Struthio camelus: one gene and its partners. The protein of the gene in region 1 interacts with the protein of each later gene in a biochemical or structural test. Links are inferred from orthologs where the notes say so. Each region holds a gene or a part of one and is shown in the gene's direction. Other genes may lie near its edges.

Evidence for each region.
Region 2: the proteins of COL1A1 (region 1) and SPARC form a complex in vitro, tested with the Homo sapiens proteins (2 studies listed by BioGRID). The link is inferred for Struthio camelus from reciprocal best matches to the Homo sapiens genes COL1A1 and SPARC.
Region 3: the proteins of COL1A1 (region 1) and THBS1 form a complex in vitro, tested with the Homo sapiens proteins (2 studies listed by BioGRID). The link is inferred for Struthio camelus from reciprocal best matches to the Homo sapiens genes COL1A1 and THBS1.

What each region holds. Positions count from the first base shown.
Region 1 is NC_090966.1:4,762,045-4,769,028, forward strand, and holds the start of COL1A1 (collagen alpha-1(I) chain), read left to right. Parts: upstream 1-3,928; 5' UTR 3,929-4,218; coding exon 4,219-4,300; intron 4,301-6,034; coding exon 6,035-6,229; intron 6,230-6,452; coding exon 6,453-6,487; intron 6,488-6,596; coding exon 6,597-6,632; intron 6,633-6,766; coding exon 6,767-6,859; intron 6,860-6,945; coding exon 6,946-6,984. UniProt on the Homo sapiens protein: Type I collagen is a member of group I collagen (fibrillar forming collagen).
Region 2 is NC_090954.1:13,125,951-13,133,989, forward strand, and holds the start of SPARC (SPARC), read left to right. Parts: upstream 1-5,015; 5' UTR 5,016-5,329; intron 5,330-8,039.
Region 3 is NC_090946.1:47,519,160-47,527,025, reverse strand, and holds the start of THBS1 (thrombospondin-1), read left to right. Parts: upstream 1-4,834; 5' UTR 4,835-5,078; intron 5,079-5,280; 5' UTR 5,281-5,305; coding exon 5,306-5,372; intron 5,373-6,145; coding exon 6,146-6,723; intron 6,724-7,162; coding exon 7,163-7,238; intron 7,239-7,491; coding exon 7,492-7,688; intron 7,689-7,866. UniProt on the Homo sapiens protein: Adhesive glycoprotein that mediates cell-to-cell and cell-to-matrix interactions.

The sequences.
Region 1 (6,984 bases):
CCGGGCTGGGCTGCCCTCTGCGCGCCAGGGGCGGCCGGCAACAGCGGGGAAATGCCCCTTCCTGCCCCAAAGCTGCCCCCAGCCCCGCCGGGGTGCTGAGGCCGCGAACCCCCCTCTGGGCTGCCCTCCCTCTAATCTCAGCGCTGCTCTGAGCGCCAGCCCCGGGTGGCCTGGGGGTGACGGTCAGCATGGTCCCTGGGCAAGGCGGCTGCGAATCCCAGGAAGAAATGGGTTGGGGGGGGACTCTCCTAAAATCCCCCCTCCAGCCAGCTCTTGGGGGGCTGCCAGGCTCCGGGACCCCCAAAACCACCCCAGCGTCACCCTTCACCTAGCGGAAAGCTCAGGCGATGCAGACAGAGGGACAAACCCCCGGGGAAGGGGAGGGGGGAACCCTCAGGGGTCTGCCCGCCGGGATGCAAACATATTTTCGGACCCTCCCAAGCAACCCCTGCACTTGTCCGGGCTGCTCAAGGCCCCGTCGCAGGAGCCGCGCGTCTCGCTGGCAGCCCAAAGGCCAATTAAGCAATTGCCCTGGCTTCTTTGAACGGCGGCTGGAAATAGCTGGCGCAGTCGCTGCCCGTGATTACTGGGTTTTGCCCTGCCGCCGCAATTGAGGGTGCCGAGGGCCGGCTGGCCACCAGGAATAGCCGGGGCGGTGCCGGGCTGCGGGCTGCGGGCGCGCGCGCCGGGGGGCACCCGCTGGGAGGAGGGAAACTGAGGCACGCAGCCGCCTTCCCCGGTACGGCATGTCCCCCCTCCAGGGCACCGAGGAGGACCCAGGCGGCTGGGGGGGGGGTCCGTGCCGAGCGCAGCGGGGTGCTGGGGAACCGCTCGGCAGTACCGGGGTGTCGACGAAGCGGGTCCTGGGAGCAGGACGCCTGGGTCCTCTGCTTTTCTTGGGGGGGGGGTTCTGAGGGGGAATAACTCAGCTCCCCAAAAAGGCACCTCCCGGCACTCAAAAGCCATCACCTAAAGGCTCGTGGGTGCCAGCTCCAGCCTTGTCCCCCCAGGCTGGGAGCCGGGGTTAGAGCAGCAGAGCCGGGGGGACCCAGGGGTCCCCCGACCCCGGTGGGGTCCGGTGCTGCAGCCGACTCTGCAGGACGAGCAGGGACCCACGGCGGGACGCTGGCACCCTGCGCCGGGCTGGGGCCGGGAGCGAGTGCCCACCGGCCCCCGGGCAGCGCCAGCGCCCGGGCCAGCGGGCGGGAGCGATGCTGGGCCGCCGAGCGAGGAGGAACCAGAGAAGAAAGGGAGTTAATCCGCTCCATGTGTCTGCGCTGTCGAGGGGAGTTAACTCACACCAGATGCCTGTGTCTGCTCCAGCTCTTGCAGCGCAGGCAAACAAGCCCCACCGCTCGCCTCCCCCATCCCCGCGTCCCCCGTCAGCTGTGTTTTTCTGTAGGTCCTACTCGACGCACGACCGGCGGGACGGGCGCCTTGCCGCCTCTCGCCTGCTCTTCTCCATCCCACGGCTTGGACGACCCCGGTCCCGCTTGCGACTTTTTGGGGCAACGTCCTCCTCCCGCCCCAGCCCCGTTGGCACCAGCGAAGCCAGCGGGCTGCACGGGAAGGGGGTGGCATCCCTCGAGGGGACGGGGCTCGGGGGGACCCCCAGCGCCCAGCTGGGCCGTGGCACCCTGGGCACAGCCCGCAGCATCCCGCCGCCCCGGCCGGCCTCCGCCGAACCCGCGGGGCAAAACCCCGTCCCCGTCCTTGCCCGGGTGCTGCAGGACGGTCCCCGCACGGGTACCACCGGGACGAGCAGGGAGGGACCCCCATCCTGCACCCCACAGTAGCCGGGGCAGGCCCAGGCCCTGGGGCTGGCGTCTCCCGTTTTGCTTCCTAGGATCCTGATGGCTTTTCCAGGCTTTTATTATTATTATTTTTTTTAATGTGGGATTTCTTCCCTTTCTCTCTCTCTCTCTCTTCTTTTTTTTCCCCTCCCTCGTTCTTCTCATTCCCCCCCAGCCCCCATCCCCTGCACGAAACCCTCCTGCATTCCTCGGGCGGGCGGCCGGGGCTGATGAGGTGGCATTGGCCCCCCTCCTCCCTCCCGCGCTACATGCATATAAAAAAACGATGACATTCTTTTCTTTTCTGTCATGCTGCAAAAATTAAAGACACATCTTCAGCCTGGAGCGCGGCCAGGGGTTTTCGAGTCGCAGAGGCATGATTGGAGGAGTCTTCGCCTGCAACGTGTCTCGGATGCATAGATACAGGCTTGAAAGCTGGCCAGCTGCTCCGTGTGCATGCGTGTGCGTGTGTGTGTGTGTGTGTGCGTGCGTGCGTGTGCAACTCGCACAGATAACTCCTTCTGCCGCGGTTTTTTTCTTTGCATTTAATCGCAGGCTGGAAAAAAAGACCTGGAGAGGTCACCGGCGGAGCCTTTTTCTGCTCTCAAGTTCGACGTGTCTCTTCCCCCCCCCCCCCACCCCCCGCCCTGTTATTGCATTATTTGATCCCCTCCCCCCCCCGCCCCCCGGCCAAAAAATAAATAACTCGGTCTCTCCTTGAGGGCTACTGCTCGGATGCGGGCGCTTAAAGCGGGGGGAAGCGCGTGTGCGGTTTGCTTTTCGACGAGGCAGGAGCCACTTGGCGACCCAGCAGGCCGATGAGTTTGCAAGTGCTCAGCCCCTGCGGCGTGGCCCGGTCGGGGTGGGGGGGGGCGGTGGGTGCCAAGGTAGGACCCCGCTGCCTCGCGGCTCCCGGTCCCCCTCCCCGAGCGCAACGGCAGCCCCCAGCCCCATTCCCTGCTGGGGCGGCCCCCCGCGCTCCCCGGGAGCTGCCACCCTCCCCACAGCCCCGTCCCGGACGCCTGGGTCCAACGAGCCGCTGCCCAGCCCTGGGAGGGGACCCCCGAGCCCCAGCAGTGCCCAGGGCCCCAGAGACTCCCGCGGGGAGACCGCCCAGCCCGCACCCTCGGCCGCTGGCTGGGCCCACGGAAAGGGGCTGTTCAGTGCCGCATTTTTCCAAAAAACCCTTAAAATCGAGCTGCCCTCCACCCCGGTATGCCACAACGTCTGGGGGACGTGCGGAGAGCTCCCCGCACCGGGGGGTCTCCGTCCCCCTTTGCCCTAGAGATCCAGGCGCCTGCCACGGCCCCGCTAAAAAATACACACACACACATATATATATATATATATATATATATACACACACACACATGCACACACATATATATATTTTTTTGGCGTGTAATTACACCCTCCCAAAATTGCACAGTGTATTGCGGATTATTGTCAGCGAGCTTTTTCTTTTTCCAACCAACGTGGCTCTTCAAATGTGGAAACAGTCATGGAGGCGTGCCAGAGGGGAGGAAGGAAGAATGGGAGAAAGAAAGAAAGGAAAAGAAAGAAAGAAAAGAAAAGAAAGGAAGGAAAGAAAGAAAGAAAAGAAAGGAAGGAAGGAAGGAAAGGAAGGAAGGAAAGAAAGAAAAACGGAGATAGAAAGCGAGCAAGCCAAAAAAGAACCCCAAGCAGAGCAGCCCCGAGCAGCGGGTTTGGTGGCTCCGGGGTCCCCGTCAGCGCCCGGCGTCGGGGATGCCAGGGCCACCCTGGGTTTTGCTTGTGCAACGTTGTCCCCACGTCCCGGCGGTGTGACCGGGGTGGGCGTCCGCGTGGCCCGGGCGTCCTGGCGTCGCGCGGGACCGCGTGGGGCGAGCGGAGGGGAGGGCCGTCCCCATCGGTCCCCGTGCCCGCTCCGCCCGGCGGCGTTGGGATATTCCCAGGACCCTTCATGGGTGACCCCCCCCGCCGCAAACCCACCCACCCCAATGCATCTACCCCCCCTTCCCCAAAATCCAGCCCCACGGCTCCCAACCACCCCCCCAACCCCCCCCAAAAAAATAACTCGACGCCCGTCACCCTGGGGGCGACGGCGGCGGCGCCGCGGGGCTGCGCGGCAGCGACCGCCCCGCTTGGGGGGTTTTGTGCGTGTGCATGTGTGTGCGTGTGCGTGTGCCGCCCGGACCCCGGGCGCGCCGGGCCCCGCTGATTGGCCGAGGGGCTGTCCAAAATTCCCCGTGCTCCGGGCCGCGGGCTGCGGCCGGTCCCACCTCTCGCCGCCGCCGCACCGTATAAAAGGGCAGGCGAGGCGCTGGGAAAGGCAGTAGGAAGTTTCTGCTGGGGTCCGGATTGGAGCTACACAGTCAGAGCAGCCCTGTATGACCCGACTCTGAAACAAAGAGGCCCAAAGAGTCTACATGTCTAATATTTAGACATGTTCAGCTTTGTGGATTCTCGGTTACTGCTGTTGATAGCAGCGACTGTACTACTCACCCGCGGGCAAGGAGAAGAAGACAGTAAGTAGCCGCCGCTCGCTCTCGCGCTCTCTCCGCCGGCGGGACGGGGCCTCGAGCGGCCGGCGACGCGTGGCCGCTTCGACGCTTCCCTCGCTCTTCCCGTCCCCCCTTCCCGCACGCCGCCCTCCGCGACACGGCAGAGGAGTCGCCGTGAAAAGGTCCTTCTTCTCCTGCAGGGGGTTGCGGGGTGGTGGGGGGAGAAGGAGGGTGGGGTGGGGGGCAAAAAAAAATAATAACCCCCAACCAAACCAAACGCCAGGCAAGCGAGCGGCGGGACGCGGCGGCTTTGCGGGGCGGTGCGCGCCGGGATGCCGACGGCCGGGGTCGGGATGGGACGGGCGCTCCGCCACGGCCCCGGGCTCCGTCGCCCTCCGGCCTTGGCCCCGGAGGGCCGGTGGCGCCTGGGAACGATGCTGCCGGCCGGGACTCGGTGCCAAGTTGGGAGAAGGAGAAAAGGGTGGGGAGCGAGGAGCAGGCGGGGAAGGAGGGGAGGACGGCGGGGAAGCAGGGGCGGAGGAGCTGGGGAAAGGGGGGCAAGCGAGCGGGAGAGCGACGGTGCGCCTCGAAGAGCCGGAGGGGAGGAGGAGGAGGAGGAGGAGTGGGGCGGGGGGGGGGGGGAACGCCGCCGCCGGCCCCGGGATCTGCAAAAGCCATCAGGAAAGAATTAGAAAAGTCTCAGATGATTCATAAGGAAAATGTTTTAGCAGCCCGTAAAGCCGGGGCCGTCTAGACATCGCTTCACGGACAGCCCCCTTCGCCCCGGGGATGCCGCGCTGGGGTTTCGCCCCGCGCCGGTGCAGGATGCGACCCCCCCCCGAGGGTGACGGATGGGGTGGGGGGCACAGCCCGGCACCCCCGCCTCACCGCCGGGACCCCCGCGGGTCCCCGGGGCAGCGTGGCCGCAGCTTGCGGCATTTCCCCAATTTAGTCATTTTGGTTTTTTTTTTTTTTGGCTGTTTCCCACCGAAGCGGCTCCGGCTGAGCGGGGGGCTGCGGGATGGGGCTGGCTCGCGCCCCCCTCGCTGGGAGCCCGGCCCCGCTCGGGTGCCAGCCCTCCACCCTGGCGCTCTGCCCTGCCCTCCGCACGCGCCGTCCCCCCGCTTGCCTCCATCCGCTGGACGTTATTCCCTCGCCGGCGGCGCAACCAATCTGGCCTGATCCAGCCCTAGCCCGGACCCGCCTGGATCTAATTTCAGCCCAAGCTGTCGAGCCAGCCCACCTGGCCCGCCGTCCAGCCGCCCCTAATTCGCACTTGCTGCTTTACCAGCCCCGCTGGTGATCCCGTTTCCCCAAGCCCCTTCCCGAATCCGCTCCAGCATCCCCTCCCCGGCGCCCCCCGCGAGTGGCTCCCGGCCTCCCCACCGCCTCTGAGCCCCCAGCCCGGCGCGGGGGCTTATTTGCCTTGGCCTGGGCTCCCGCAGGCCGAGGTTGCAGTTGGACGTAACAACTGGCTGGAGGTTTTGTTTAAATTCCAAAGTAAGTGGGAAGAGTTTATTGTGGTGGTGCTTTTCCTGTGTCACCGCGATGGGCTGATGAGAACCAGATGAACGGAGAAAAGCTCCAGGAGAGGGGGGAAAGAGGAGGGGGGGGGGGAACGCAAGGAAAAGGACGTGCTGGACTTGCCAAGGAAAGGCGAACGCCTGTGGACGAGCGCGAGCGTAAATCTCAGCGGCTCACTCCGTGCCCCGGTTCTCGCGCCCTCACGCTCCCCTCCCCGTCTCCCTCTTTCCCCAGTTCAAACTGGAAGCTGCATACAAGATGGACTAACATACAACGACAAGGATGTGTGGAAACCCGAGCCCTGCCAGATCTGCGTGTGCGACAGCGGCAACATCCTGTGCGACGAGGTGATCTGCGAAGACACCTCCGACTGCCCCAACGCTGAGATCCCCTTCGGAGAATGCTGCCCCATCTGTCCCGACACCGACGGTACTGACCCTTGGCCCCGCGCGCGTCCCCGTGCCGCGGCGAGCAGCGGGGCGCCTTCGCCTCGGCTCGCCGCGACGCTGCCGGGGGGCCCCCGCGCTGCCCCCCCCTCCAGCTCAGCATCCTTCCCCAAAGGGGCTGCAGCCCCGGTGGGACGGGGATCGGGGTGGGTAGAAACGTGGCGCAGACTCGGCTCCTCCGACTGACCCTTCTCCTTTCTCCCCAGCCTCCCCCGTCTACCCAGAATCCGCTGGAGTAGAGGTAATCACTGCAATCCTCTCCCCAAAAAAACCCTTTCCCAAACAGTTCTCCTTATTTCCTTGCTCTCTTCCATCATTTTCTAACCACCCGTCTCTCCTCTCCCCTCTAGGGTCCTAAGGGAGACACCGGCCCCAAAGGAGACAGGGTGGGTAGCTCCAGCCTAGCTCCTCCAGACCAGATGCGGCACAGCTCCGAGGCCGTTCCCATCCGCGCCTCGGAGCATCCCGGCACGGGGGCAGCGCCGGCACGCGCTCACCCCTGTGTCCGCTCTCCCCGCAGGGACTCCCCGGCCCCCCTGGCAGAGATGGCATCCCTGGACAGCCTGGCCTCCCGGGACCCCCAGGCCCTCCAGGTCCTCCAGGCCTCGGTGGAGTGAGTATCGGGCAGCCCCTCGGCCCCGCTCGGCCCCGCCGGCGATGCCCGCGATGCTCACGCCTCTCTCTCACTCCTCCCCGCAGAACTTCGCTCCTCAAATGTCTTACGGATACGACGAGAAA
Region 2 (8,039 bases), on another chromosome or scaffold:
CAGGCTGTCACTCTTGGTCCCCTCCACCAGCTGAAGACCTGTCCCATCTCTTGGTGTGATCACGCCAGGCAGTGCATTGGGGAAATCTGCCACAGGCATCTGGTGGGGACCTGTGGTGGGAGGCAAGTGTATCCACCACCCAGCTCCGGACATAACAGAGAGGTAGGAACAGCTGAGATGTACAGGCATGATGTCCTTAGAGATCCAGCCTGCGTCCAGGGCGGTACAGCCGGTAGCTGCAGCACACAGAGCTCCCTGTTCTCACGGCAGCTGCCTCCAGCCCAGCTGAGGAAGGCAACAGGTTTTTTTTCTCCTGCTGCTTTGGGCTCGCTTTGTTTCAGGGAGAATACATACACTCAGCCTGCAGCCCCACAGGTGTCCAAGCAAACCAGTGCACGTTGCAGGGGTAGTCTAAAGGAGAGAGAGCCCTCCCCAAAAGGCTTGGGAAGTGCCTTCCACTGGAGATCCCAGGGGATGGCTCTGAGATCCTGTGAACACCATGGAAACAGCGAGCCATCCCATAGCAGTGCATGTCCTGCCTCTAGGCTCCAGAGCAAAGCCTGCTCCCAGGTTGTGACTCACAGCACAGCCATGCACAGCTGGCTTCCCTCCCTCCTGCCCTGCAGGCCTCCGGTTTGCAGCTGAAAATTAACAATGACATCCCCTCCTCTTTCTCCTTCTGCTTCTCACAGAGCCAGAAGCCCATTCGCCTGCACTACCCTGTTGAGCCAGCTCGCCCCAATCCCATTTGAGGAGTTCACTCAGGCTCCCCGGGCCAAGCACTCAAAGACACCCTGCAGGGGCAGAGGCCTGGGGAAATGATGGTGTGTCAGTCTGCTCCATCTGTACAGGCAATCAACCCTACCACTGAGCCTGGAGGGACAGCCCTATCCCACTACAGAGAAGTCCCTGCCCCATTTAGGACCAAGATAGCCAGCCTGGGGCAAGTTCCTGGCATGGCTGAGGTTCACCCTACCCTGTGCAGAAGGCGCTTCCAGTCCTGAATGGTGGCTATGCATCTGCTTTAATGTAAATGCAGAGGCCACAGTCCTTTGCCCAGTCCTCTGATCCCCTTCTGAAACGGAAAAAAGCGAGAAACCTTCCCCTAATACCTGATGACACACTCCTGGGTTTTGGAGATAGTTGGAGAGCTGGAACATTCCTAGGATAAGCAAGATGCCTGTCTGTTCTGCACTTACTCATTTCAATTGCCTTTTCCTGAGCAGGATGCTGGGCTGCCTTACCGACTGCCCTTGCTTTTCCCACACTGCAGTAAAGGCATCCTGCTCACACAGCAGCCTGTGTGTGTGAGGAGTACAGCCTTCAGCCACACGCTAATCTACAAAGACTTATTTAATGACATTCCTACAGTGATTCCAGGGCATTCTGTTTATTTATATGCACTTTGGGTTCATTGTTTCACTGTAGCATCCACCAGTGATTAATGCAGGAACATCATCCTTTCCAGAAAAACTCATTAGAAAATCCCTCCCACGGCATAAAGGAGGAAGGGCTGCTTAGACTGAAGGATCTGAGTGTAGGATACAGCAGGATTATTAATCCCCACTTGTATCACTTCCATCAAGTGGCTCACTTGTATTTCTGTCCTTCTCTTACAGCAGAATTGCTCCCATCTTGGAGAGTACCAGGGTTTTCTTAACTGTGCCAGCCCAGATCTGTCAAACTAGGCTTAAAAGAGGATGAAGGAATTTGGATTTTGCATTGAGGTTAGCTTGAGTTCAAACCTCAGCCTTGCAAATGTCTTGGCTTTGCTATACACTCAGTTCAAGTCTCAAGGGGTCTGGTCCTATTTGCTTTTTCCATCTGCGTTTGTGAGGTCACTTGAGCTGGAAGTAAGTGAAAGGCAGCTTGGGGTTCAGGAGCTGTGTATGAAACACATATTGGCACTGCTTATAGAGATCGCAATCTCGACCTGCGAGGCAGGCTCGCACGGCAAAGCACAGCCCCCCTTGTGTAGGGTCTCAGGGCTGACAAGGCCCTCTTGGGCCGTCTTTTGCCTGCCCAGTTCCCTGAGCTTTAGATGCCATAAGAGAAACCTCTAGCATGTGTAAGGTTCAGTTTTTCTCCTGGCAGCCTGACATCAAAGTCTCTTCTTTGATGTCTAAGCCTTATAAGCGTGGGGAGGACTTTCCAGGACTTTTTTGCAAGCTCTCAGTCATCTCAGAAGCTTCTTAAAGCTGCTGAGATTAGAGAGACTGCCAGTTGCTCCAGGCTCTTGTTTCTCTTTCCGTGCAATCCCCCTTCATCCCACAGCTGGCAACACAAAACCAAGCCTGGCAACGTGCCTGTTGCACAGGGAGCTGTAGGACCTGGGCTCTCCCCCGTGATGTGCGCAGCAGCTTAAGGCCTCTTTCCTATTTGGGTTAACCCCCCACGTGCAGGAGGTCTGTGAGGACCCCTCACTCTGCACATTCCCGGGGCTGATAGCCGAGAGCTCAGGGGCCATCTCCAAACGTGACTGCACCACTGCAGCAGGCTGCTTTTTGCTTTCACTCAAGACCAAGGTTTAAGCCGCCACGTATATAAAGAAAACCCTGTTATAATTATCTTCCTGGCACTGTCATTTGCTTCTTCTTAGAAAAGGGCTTAGCGTCAGGCTAGACTAAAGAGCACTGAGCAATTGCCACGTTGTCAGTTAGAAAAGACGTGGTTTCTTTTCTCTTTTTTTTCCCCCTTAAAATTTTTTCCAGATGTCTTTTTTTTTTTTCTCTCTCTCTTAGGAGAAGTACCAGCAGCTGTATGATTTCAATGCGAGCCGTGACTAATCCAGTGCAGAAAGCATTCAACTCCTCGGGGTGTGCACCAAGCGAATGAAACGCAAACCTAGGGGATAGGTGACCTCTGCAGCTGAAAAGGACCTACATGTAAGCTACACATGGGGGCTGTGGACACCCATGGGGGGAAGAGAAGACATCCAGACGCCACAAGTGACCAGCTGAGTTAACAAGACAGACATGGTCTTATCAACCATCACAAAGTTGACCTTCAGACAGACCCTAGACCGGTGGGGTGTCTGTATAAGGAATATCAACATCCACACATCAGAACTCAGGGATGGCTTTTGAACAGTGTGTAAAAAAACAGCCAGGTTCCTCGTGGCTCTTCAGTGGGAGCAAGATGCTTTTCACGCATCCTCTTGGGCATCTCCAGGCAGCCTGAGGCTCCTAAGCCCTTTGACAACATGACTCCAGCTCCTCATCCCCAGTTCTCAAAGCAAACAGAGAAATCTCACTGCTCCTCTGTGCCTGGATGGTGTCATGAGTGACAGAGTGATACACAGCAGCATAACCACTCCCACCGCAAACTACGACCCAGGTGCCACATCAGGAGCAACCCATGGAGTGGAGAATGGGGGGACACAGCCCCACAGGGTCCCACCTCCTGGTATGTTCGCTACTGCCTTCTGCCTAAAACGCTTCAGGACCCAGGATTTAAAACAGTGACCTGACAAGACTTTTTCTTCTCTTGCTCTTCACCACCAGCGTCCTGGCCTGCCTGATCATAGACATCCACAGTCCCATTGGAAAGTGATGATGGGTTCTTCATGGCCCCCTCTACTATCTTTTTCTTCCCTCTCCCCTTTCTATTTTGATCTTGTTTATTTTTTGTTTCTTTTTGGCCCTATTGATGTTTATTCTTACATCTGTCTCTTTCACATGCAGCAGCAGGACAAGACGTGTGCTGATGAGGAATTCTAAATCACAAATAGGCCTCCACCAGAGCAAAGAGCCAACAGAGCTCAGCAAATCCTGGCAGGCCTGTTCCTGTGATGACATCTAAATCCCCAGTAACTTCAGTATGAGGAGTTAAGTGTCCACCTCCCTCTTGAAGGCAGCGTGTAATCACCCAGAGGAATGACCCCAGAACCTAGGCAGACGAGACAAACACATGGCGTTACATCTTATTATGAGTCTTGTGTCCTCTTCACCCAGCACCCAGGATCACAGTCCTAGTGCCCAGACAACTTGTCCTCAGCCCTGCCTGCAATGTGAGCCACTGTCCCTCCAGCAGCCCCAGGGAGAGCAACCTCGCTTTGCCTGGCCAGGTGACCCCACTAGAGCCACTCAGGCTCAGCAAGGGATGGATGCTGCCATGGGCAGACAATGAGCTGCAAAAAGCTGCTAATGAACTGGACTGTCTGCAGCACTCAGGAAAGCCCTACAGGTTATAGAGTCAGGTCCCTTAGGGATACCCTAATTCCAGTAACTTAACAACCTCACTTCTTGCCTGCTGCTTTTTCCCTACAATGTGGCACCATGGCCATGCTGCCATGCATAAGGACACGTTGTCTGGTTCTGCCGGGGGTCAGATGAACTTTAAGTTGCCTCTGCCGTGATGAAATGCAAGGAAATGGGAGCTAGGTTTTCATCCTTAGCGTGCAGAGGAACAGATGGGAAAAGTCAACCCCAAACGGCTTTGCTGTTTGGCTGCTCTGACTGGGTTATAATCTATAAGGTCAAAATACTGAACCATATCTGAAGAGAACCTCAGATTCAATGGACCAGCAATTTCCAGGCCACCAGTTTTACTCAGTCAGTGCCAGCTGATCAGATCTGTTGGACAATAACCACTAACCACAGCAGAAAGATCAGCGTGCTGGGGGTTACTTCTCCCCGCTGAGCATTTCCCTGGCTCTTTAGAGCATATTTCAGACATGTAATAACTCTCCACAGGCTGGAAAAAGGGGATCATTTTTTCCTCTCCCTCTTCACAAGGCAGTCTCAGATGGCAACAGTGTCAGGAGAAAGGATGGAGGAGTGAGGACGCTTCTCCTAGCTTCCTCCGTATCCCCCAAGGATGGAAAACACCAGCCCAGGAACTGAACTGGTCTGTTGTGAAATGACAGTTTTTATTGTGCTGGATGAAGGTGCTAGGAGCTGTGCAAAGAAAGCATTCCTCCCCGCTCCCCTGATACTGTTAGTCCGAGAGAGATCCAGAGAACCAAAAAACTAGTCACAGCAGTACAAGCAGCTACTGTGACAAAGCCTCAGTTACAAAAGTGCTCTGGGAACTGATTTCTCCCTGCGAGAGACCCTGTTTATCTCCAGCACCTCTTGATTTCTCTAGTCTAGAGCTGAAGCTGTGCCTCACTCTTTTTCGGGACCAGGGCAGTGAGAGGGGGTGGGACAGCCCACTGGGGAGTGGGGCAGAGGAAGAGACAGATTTGGAAAGATAGCGAGGAGGAGGAGAGGCAGCAGGAAACCCAGCCCACAGTTTGGCTTCCTGCTGCCTCCTTCTAAAACCTGCAGATTCCCCCAGCCCTTCCAAGAGCCTGAAGTTTCCTCAGCCCTGCTGCCGGCACTGTCAGGTATGGCCCGAAACCTTCTTCTTTTCCTTCCTGATGCTCTTTCTCCTGGCGTGGTGGCTCCCCAGCCCACTCGCGCAGGCCCCCCACATGAGCACCCAGCTCTGCACCTCACCAGCCCACCACTCACCCAAGGACCTTGCTGAGCTTCTTCTCTTTCTCCTCTTCCCAGCTGCATCTGTTACTGCATTTCATTGCCACATTACCAGCGTTAGCATTTTGGTGACAGCTGACTTTAAGGCTTTAAAACCTGACCTAATTTTTCCCTCTTCTCCCTTCTTCCTCTCCGGGTTTTACATTGTGGGGTATTGCCCTTGGGAGAGGTGCTAGACCAACGTCTGGGCACGTCAAACCACCCTGCACAGCAAATCAGATTTAGTTGTAAACCAGCGCGCATTATGCACAGAGTCTGAGGTGTTTTGGCATTTGATATTTTACTCACCAGAATATCTAGAGAAAGAACAAAAACGTTGTTGACTTTATCTCCTAGAGGTTTTGTTGCTGTTGTTGTTTTTTTTTTAAGTACAGCCATTCTTATTTCTCCTGCAGAGAAAGACACCAGGCTTTTTGTTCCAGGCAGACTCTGAAATCATTTCAGGTCCTCCTGCCTTATTTTGCATAAATCCAGCTGATCAGCTGCTTGAGAGAGAGATGAAGGTTGCGGGAGAAAAAAGTGAAGAACCAAGCTCTTCTTTTGTCTGTTTAAAGAGACTGAAAATAAGGATCAGTCAGACACAATTTTAGGTCCATGCAAAAAAGCCAAGGGCTTGTTTCCTTTAAAGGCAGCAGCTGTCTTTTCCCTGTCCTGACGTGCATAGCAGCCTAACTCTGCTCTTTGTATCCCTCTTCTAAAAAAGCTCCACTATGTTGCGTACAGCCAAGAAAAGGAAACTTAATAGGATGGTGGCTTAATTCCCACCCAAACTGACCAGCAACAGTTGTAAGTTGGAGTGAAATCGGGGACACCGCGAAGGTCGCCTGCACTCCGACCGCTCGGTTACCACCGACTTGAAACAGCCCCACAACAGCCCCCATCGAAAGGACAAAGCAGCTCGCAGCGGCTTGGTAGGCTGCACCAGCCGAGTGTTAAGTGGGAACCAAAGGCTGCGGCGTTCTGCGAAGCGGCTAAGCCCGAGCTATTGTCTGCCACATAGGCAGGAGCAGGGATGCGGGCGGTGTCGGGAGGGGGAGCGGAGAAAAACTTTTCAAACTTTTTTCAAGCCCCTCCTTCCCCAGCCCTTTGCTCTGCCATGACTCAGCCGCGGAGGAATGTCGGCTCCCATGGAAACCCCTTCTGGGTCCTCTGGGCGAGGGATGTTGGGGCTGTTATCGCTGGAGCTGCTGTGGCTGCTGTGGCGTTCAGGGAACGCTTTGAAGATGATTCGCGTTTTTGCAGGATGTTTAGCCGCCGGTTTCTTCTCTTTGTTTTCTTGCGGGGCTGTGCATCAGTGAGAGATCAGCTTTCTAACACCTCCGGGAGCCGGAGGGACCCGCTTGCACCTGGCACAGCAGGGTCCTTACTTACAGCACTTCACAGAGGAGCAAGGCTACTTTTGGCGTGACCCCCATGTCCACATGTCCAGGCCAAGCCAAAAAAAAAAAAAAGAACAAAAAAAACCTTAGGCAGACAGCGTAATGCTGTATCGCTTCCCCTTCTGACTGAAGTCTGTGAAGAGCTAAGTCATTCTCTGGTGTTTGTAGCTCCGATCTCATACATGCACTTTTCTTGCTACTGATTTAATTGTTTCTCTTTATGAACGCAATGTACAGCCTAGAGAGTTAAATTCTGATAGCACCAAGCCAGCATATAACTGTACTGGTAATGGGGCACTTATCCTGTCCTCTCTGAGTACAGTAAAGACCCGGCACACTCACAAGCACAATCACGGCTGCTCTACCAACTCCCTGCAAGGGCAATGGATTAATACAGCACAGTGTTGTGCAGACATGTCTTTAGCTACTCTGAATGGAAAGATACGGTGGATAGATTTTTTTTCTTGTGTTTTAATGGGTATGTGTAAGTGGGTATGTGTAAGGTATGTGAAATTCCCTTTTGCATGTAAAAGGGAATTTCACTTCCATCTAATACTTTCTTGGATACGTAAGCCTATAAGCTGTGCCTGAGCTCTGGGGGGCTGCACAGGTGGCAGGAGCTAGGCTGGCTTCTGCCCAATCCTGATTTCCTGCCCTGCTCTCTTGACACCCGGTGCAATGAAGTGGCTGTACAGCTGCAGAGCGACGGGGTGCTCTGACATCCCCAGGAACATGGCTGGACAAGCAGGAACCTGTTCAGCAGAGAGCTCTATGGGGGCTCACACAAATAGCTTTGTCTTCAAACTGAATTTTAGACCAGGAGGGATTGGCTAAATACAGCTCAACGGGGTCTTGTTTGCATAGCTATGTTGGGGCCAGCCAGCTGGTTGCGCTGGGTTTCTGTAATGGCTAATTTCTTCACCTGTCTGCACCTTGAAAACTTGGCCCGTGGTGGGATTTCTAGGCAATAGCCTCTTCTGGACCTGTGCTGCCTTTTCATTGAGTCTGAGGTGCTGGGATATATTTCAGGCTCTGCAGAGTCTTGCAATAGGAATGAGCAACTTGCTGGTGAATACACGTGGCCCTGCTGCTGCCTGCACCCTGCGTGGCAGTGGAAGGGTGCTGTGACAGCCATAGTGCAGGTGGGGAGCTGAGACACAGGGAGGGTGTTTGCCCCGCA
Region 3 (7,866 bases), on another chromosome or scaffold:
ATACTGAGACTGCTCACAGATGCAAACTAGCAGCTTTCATTCACTTCATGGGATCAAAGGTCCCGGTATGTAAATGTATAAACATAATACGTATTCTCTCCTCTGCTGAGCAAAATATTTGAAAATGCAAATCTGCAATAATGTTCTGAGTTCTAATGAAAGCAAGAAATTCTACTACGCACTCGAATTTGAATTCATGCTCTGATGATTCACTGACGAGAAATACTTTGCTGAAGCAGAGATTAGGTGCCTATATCTAAGGTTACCTTTGATCCACTGCAGACAAAGCAAGTACATGAAGAAGTGATAGGGAATACTGTTTTTTTTTTCTCTTTATTCCTTCACAGACAAAGCAAACCAATCGGAACTTTGAAGGACAGTAAATGTTTCAGGTTTCAGGAGCAGAGTGGAGGAGTATTTTTTGCTTTATACTTGATGATAAATTCTATTTCTTAAAAAAACTGATTTTTCCTACTAGGGAAAAAGCTTAAAAATGATTGACTGGCTTTACTTTTTCCCTGGTATAACAGTAGTACAACCTTATATGCAAGTCCTGTAAGAAAATCCTGTCACTACAGTTAATTCCTTTAGATTACAGTCTTCTCAGCAAATTGGACTACCTTTTGCCAACACCAAAATCTGACTAGTGGTAAACAAATGTGCTTTGCCAACATTATGATTCAGAAGAAATTCAACTGCAAATATCTCTGCTTATTCAGTAGTTAGGACTTAGTTCAATATGCTAGCCATTAATCAAACATTTGCAATTTTCCACACGTTTTTTTTGGTAGGCAAACAGGCCTGCATTCGATGCAAGAACTTCAAAGACAAAAACATCCGATCTGCTTTTTGTATGCAGGCAGCCTGCAGATGTGGTTGGCATGGGGAACCCGCCTGCAAACAGAGAACACTGGTAAGCAGGATACCCTGGTCAAGCACACATACACCAATATATTTTGGAAAAAGAAACATTTTTGTATCGCAATTTACATAAAGTGCCCCTTTCACAGAGATGATAGATTTGCTGAACAATCATCTGCTGGATTCCATGCCGCAGGGGAAGGGTTATGCCCTGCACACAAATCTCCCCCTCTCCAATAGGTGTACCTATTTCCTTCGGGAGCTAACCATTACTGATAGCACAAGAAACACCAACAGAAAATATGCCACAGGAAGTGATAAATGTGTGATCCCTCTCATTCAACTTCAGCCACTCAAACTAAACTCGTCACCTGTTTCCTCCTAGGGGCAGAGAGCACCTCTAGGAGGGGTTTCATCTGTCCTAAAATAAATGAGATCAATAGACTTCCGAAAAGGCCTCTGTCTCTCTTTTTTTTGTACAGGAAGGACCTAACCAACAAACTCAGAAGGTAGGCAAAATGAATCCCACCCAAAACAAACCAAAAGAATTCTGTGCTTCATAAAAACTTTTTAGAGCTGTGTTAAGTTGTAAAATAATAATAATAGACGCTCTCTATCTTCAGTGCTGTTCACTGAAGTTCATGTTTTATATATTTATATTTGTATGTTCATATATTTTCTACTTTTAGCAAAAGATATGCTGTATCTTTTTAAAGCTTTCCTTCAGTGTGACTAAAACATACCAGATAAGCAATCTGGTGTAAACTGTTTTAACACAACGCATCTCAGTAACACTGTTCCGATGTACGCTGTCGGTTCTATTATCCCTGAATTACAGCTTCAGCACAGGCTATTAAGATTCCATTTTCTATGTATGTAACTTTAAATGCAAAAAAAAAAAAAATTCTTATTCTGTGTGCTGGGGATAATATTTTAAAGAGATTCTAGGCAGAAGGTCTTATCAAGAGAGAAATTCACTCCTTTTATTATGTCAATTTTACATTTTTTTGTGGCTTGCCTTAGACTAAAACCATACTTTCCGCATTGATTGACTACTTTAAAAATTTTTTTACAGTCTTACATACAGCTATACTAACATAAGTTTTAAGTTCAGACATAAGCTTCAGAGTTGCAAACATAATCTGCAATGAATGTTCAGTGAAAGTGAAAAGGACTCCAAATTCAAGAGGAAGTAAGAAGCATGTGGTTCCAGGATTCACAATAAGAGAGTGACCAAAGAATCCACGATAAAAAACATCCAGGCACTCCTGGGATTGGGCTACTAGCTTTAGCACAGCTCACATTCTTTAACACACCCAAAAGATAACAGGTAAATAAAATCCACTAAAACAGTTTCAACAAGTCAGTTATCTCTTGCCTACTAGAACAAAGCTAAGTGTCAAATTGACATTGGCTATATGAGTTTAAATCGGTATTAGCTCCAGAAGGATCAACAGAGCTAGGTATATACGCTATGATGAGAAGCTGGACCTAGATGTGAAGAATATGCTAAAATTATGGACCAAATTTGGCCCCCATGATTGTGCTGTATTTCTGGGGCAATAAGATGCTTGCTAGAGATTCCTTAAGATTTAGAGATGGGTCCAAACTACAAAATTTGGATCTAGATTTTAATATTTTAAAAAATCTAAGGAAGTTCGAGTTTTTCTATTTGGGCTCCAGTGCATCTTATGGTAACGCTGAACAACTCATTTTCAGAATCATAGTTCACTGAGGCTACAGGGATTTCACAATAAGAAAGTCCTCCTTTCACAACAATCAAGAGGGAATATTCTGAGATAAGATTATAGGTTCATCCACACACTTTTGGATGAAATAAGAGATAAAGTTTGAGCGTTATTTTTCATTTCGGAGTGGACAGTTCCTGGTTGCCTGCCTCAACTTCCTCATTTAATGGGAGGAAATTTTTGAAATTTTCTTATGGCCTTTCTACTCTAATCTCTATCCTTGACTTATTTCCACATGAAGAAAAGCTTGAGAGTAACATTCTGACCTTAAAGATACGAGCTCATATAAACAGCTGTCCCTTAGATTTCTGTGAGACAATCAGAGAAAGTAATGAGTATATGAAGGGTTTGGCGGGGCGAACACGAACAATGTACAACCACCTGTCAATTAATTCTGTCCAGGTAGGATCAGTCAGTCTCTCTTTCTTGCTCTCTCTGTATTTTTTCCCCTGGCAGTGCTCTCCTCATCTCCCTCTCTCTCTCTTGGCTCTTAATCTTGAGGGACTGGAGGTTCTTCCTGCATGAACATAACAAAAAGGCCTTCTTCAGATGGTATACTCTCTCTCTTAAATTAAAAAGGCTGACAAACATTTTGGCTTTACCCAATATATACAATTCTGTAGCTATCTCATTCATTGAGTCAAGAATTTCCCAAGGCATTTCCTGGGATAATCTGTAGAGCACTAATGCCTCGTACATTAGCCAGTCCGCTTGCCTGATGCGTTTTACACAGTTCAGCTTAGTTTAGAATCCAGTGCAATTACGGCTGGAGATTGCCAAGCTCACTCCAACTTTCCCTCACCAGACACGCAACCGACTGACGAGATTCTCCTCGCTCAATGACACTCGGCTTTCCACAGGAGCAAACGTCAAATATAAAAAGCCCGGGGAATGCAGAGGAATTAACCATTTTTGGAATCCAGTCACTTCCAAACAATTTCACCCACTCCAGTCACTTTTGGTCATAGGGAGTAGGGCAGACAGGACACAGAGGGCCTGCCCCTTTAACCATGAGCAGCTTTCCTCTCCCCTGAAACTCGGACGACAGGGAGAAGCGCAAGGTGACAGCTGAAGCGAGGTGTTAGTCAGTTTATTCACTACACTAAGCCATCGCCCGTTGGCCATGGCCGAGCTACTTCTCCAGTGACCGGGTGGAAGGGGAAAGGCGCGGGCACACGACACCCCCTCCTCTCGCCTGGCCCCCAGGCCCCGGCCCCTGCCCCCCGCCCCCCCAAGCCCCCGGGCGAGCGGCAAGCCCTAAGGGGGGCTGCGTTTCCCCCCCTCGCGGGGACCCGAGCCACGGGAGCCGGGTACCGCTGCCAGCGGGCGGCAAGAGCAGGAGGCTGATCGCTTCCGTGGGGCGTACCGGGACACCGGGGCCGCTTTAACCCTGGAAACGCAACCTCCCCTGCTCGGGCCGCCCCGGCCCGGGCCCGGCGGAGCGGCCGGTCCGCCCGGGGCGCGGGGCCGGGGAGGCGCCGCCCGCCCCATGTGCCCGGCGGCAGCGGCGGCGGCCGGGCGAGCCCAGCCCCGTCGCGCCGCTCTCACCGGCATCGCCAGCGGCGCCGGCGCCGCCCGCACCGGCACCGGCACCGGCAGCGGGGCGGCCGGGCGGGGGGGGCGCAGCCGGCCCTGCGCCGGGGTTGCGGGCGGCCCGCGTGGCCCGGCGGGGAGGGCAGGACGGGGCCGCACCAGCGGCGGCGGGGGGGCGCTCCCGCGTCTCCCAGCTCTGCGGGGCAGCGGGAGCGGGGGGTGCTTGGGGGAGCCCTCGGCGGCCGTCGCTGGCGGAGTGGCGCCCGAGGCAGAGCCGCAGGGCGGCCGTCGGGGCCGCGGCGAACGCGGCCCGGGAGCTGGCTATAAAAGGAGATAATGCCTCCGGCGGCGGCGCCGCCGCCCCCCTGGCCGCCGCCATAGGAGCTCGCGGGGCGCCCCCAAGCGGCGGGCTGGGAGCGCCGCGGCCCGTCGGGAGGTAGAGGTAGGTGCGCGTGCGGCCGCAGCGTCCGCCCGCTGGCGGCGGCGGCGGCGGCGGCGGCGGCGGCGGCGGCGCGGGGGGAGCCGGCCCCTCCGCCCCGTCCCGGGCGCCCCTGTGTGGAAAGTTGCCCGCCGTGCCGCGAAGCGCCGCCGCCGCCCACTTCCTGCCCCGCCGCCGCTGATTGGCCCGCCGCGCTTTGAGGAATGTGAGCGACCCTTTAAAGGCGCGCGCGGCGCCCGGCGCCCCCAGTGCACCAGGCAGGGCCGGCGGCACGGCGCGACCAACCGCCGCCCCAACCGACGCCACCTACCTGACACCGCCGCGCCGCCTTGCTGCCGCCGTCGCTCGCCCGGGGGCTTTGCGCTGCTGTGTCCGCTCTTCCTCGCCGGGACAGTCGAGGGCTGCCGGAGGATATTAGCCGCTAGGTGCCCGGCGCTGCGGGCAGCCCGTCCTGCCCGTCGTGTGCCCGGGATCGCGCCGGCCCGCTCTCCCCGGAGGTAAGTGCTGAAGCAGCTTCTCTCCCCCCTCGGTGCCCCCTCGGAGGGTGACGGGCACCTGTCGTGTCCCTGTTGCTTCCCGCTTCGCAGCCTTCCTGCCTCCGAGGTACTTTGGGAACTGCTGGTGCCAGTGCTGTGAACACCGGGTTCCTGGATGCAGTGGCAGCTTGGTGACCTTCTTCCTTCGTGGTTGTGTCCCTAGGTTGGTTCAGAGGCAGATCTTTGCCATGGGGCCAGCGGCTGTTCTCTTCCTCCTCCTTATGCTCAGTGTCTCTGAGGCCAAGCGGGCGGCAGGTAAGACCAGCCTCTGTGCTCTGCAGCTGTGGGTTTGTTACTCTGAGTGGTCACAGAGGTGTGAAAAGAAAAGGCTTCTTGATATCTGGGTAGACAGATGAAATTGTGCTCTGCGCTGAGGAGCTCCAAAGCTTTCAGTGAACAAAAATGTTTTAACCTAAGTGCTATCTAATTATGGGTTATGAACAGGAAACTTTCTCTGGTGTGGCATTTACGGAAACTTCAAAAAATGAATGTAGAGACCCCAGGGCTTCAGAGCACAGCTTATCCACCTCTCTATGGTAGGCAGAGAAGAGGAGGAATCTAATGTAGGAACTAGATGGAGAAGGAATGGGGCAGTATGCTACTGTATTGGGGGCCATAGAGAAATTACCCTGCTTGTGGTCACCCTGCCTGACTAAGCGAGCACTCTTTGCAATATGCCCATACTAGGATACAGCAACCAGGGCTTCTGCTGTCTATTTCTCTTGTATTAGAGCCTAATGAGGTGCCAAAACTGCCGCTATCTTTGTGCGTCAGGCAGCGGGTACCTGGCACTCCTGTGCCCACTGGCTCCTTTACAAGACTGCACGTGTACTGCCCCACAGCAAATCCTGGTGAGACTTGAGATACTGTCACAGCTTGTGTCTGCTCTAACATGAGGCTCTGTCCCTTGCATTACATAGAACTTGAGCTAATGTGTTAGTAGCCCCCGAAGAAATGCACTTAACTTAGTCTCTTGTCCCTTGCTCGTGGGCTCATCCCTCTGATTGCTTGCTCTGATCTCTCTGCAGAGTCAAGGGGAGATGACAACAGCGTGTTTGATCTCTTTGAACTCATCGGCTTTATTCGCAAGGGAGCTGGGCGCCGGGCACCAGGAGTGCACCTGGTAAAGGGACCAGAGTCTTCCAGCCCTGCTTACCGTATTGAAGATGCCAGTCGCATCCCAGCTGTCCCTGACGACAAGTTCCAAGACTTATTAGATGCCATCCATGCTGAGAAGGGCTTCATCCTTCTGGCCACTCTCCGGCAAGCCAAGAAGAGTAGAGGCACACTGCTGGCTGTGGAACAGAAAGATGGCTCTGGTCATGTCTTCAGTCTGGTATCCAATGGCAAGGCAGGCACCCTGGACCTGAGCCTTTCTGGTGATGGCAAGCAACAGCTAGTGTCAGTAGAGGATGCCTTGCTAGCTACAGGACACTGGAAGAATATCACCCTGTTTGTGCAGGAGGACCGGGCTCAGCTCTATGTGGGGTGTGAGAAGATGGAGAATGCTGAACTCGACATCCCCATCCAGAACATCTTCACTAGGGATCTGGCCAGCAGTGCCAGGCTCCGTATTGCCAAAGGAGGAGTCAACGACAACTTCCAGGTAAGACTTTCACTTCCATTTTGGCTAGTATTTTCAGTCATCTGCCTTGAAGGTGTATCAGCTACTCAGGCAGCCTAAACATCTACAAAGATGCAGCTCATATGGCAAAAGGGGGGCCACCACAAATCAGCTTTTGTATATCTGATATGAACACTAAAGTCACTAAATTGTAATAATGCAATTTGAAGTGAAGCACAGATCTGCAAGGTTGGAACTTCCTACAGCAATAACTAGGTCCTTGTGGTCAAGGATGAGAATGTTAGGAAGCAGGGCTTGCTCTCGCTGAGGAAAACAAAGTTTCGCCTTGCAATCTGTCTGATGTGAAACTACTTTTAATGATCGTATGTGAAGTTAAGTGTCTACAAATGCTTTCCATGTAAGTTGCGCTTCTTCCCCTTGCTGTTGCTATAAGTAGCTGTAATTCTTCCTCTGTCCACAGGGACTGCTGCAGAATGTGCGGTTTGTGTTTGGAACAACTCTGGAAACTATTCTGAGGAACAAAGGCTGCTCCAGCTGTAAGTCTGCAGTCTTTTTCTGAATCCAATGACCTATTAAAAATAAATTCCTCAGTATGTTAGGAGGACAAGTTGAGACAGAACTCAGAAGTATGCTGACATACAAATCCAAATTGCATAAGAAATAAGATTATTTTTCTGCAGGCACCCTAATGAATCTGGTAACAGCTGTTTAGCAGGTGTTACCCTGCAATGATAAAAGCACATGGTTGAAAAATGCATTTACCTTATGTGCGTATTTGTTGTCTCTTAGCCACTAGTGCAATCATTACATTGGACAACCCTATCAATGGCTCCAGCCCAGCTATCCGCACTAATTACATTGGTCATAAAACAAAGGACATCCAAGCAGTCTGTGGTTTTTCCTGTGATGAACTAACAAACATGTTCGTGGAACTGCAAGGGCTACGGTCCATGGTTACAACACTTCAAGATAGAGTGCGCAAAGTGGTGAGTGTTGGCTAAATTCACGTTACCTTTCATTAACTCTCACTTAGTGAGTGAATTCTGACTTGCCCTTTGTGTGCCTGGGTGAGGAGTAATAACTTTACTGTGGTCTGGTCTATCAATTTTGTGGAAAAGGATGTTTTTTGTATTGAGTTCTAAATATCTTCTCTCTGCTCCCCCT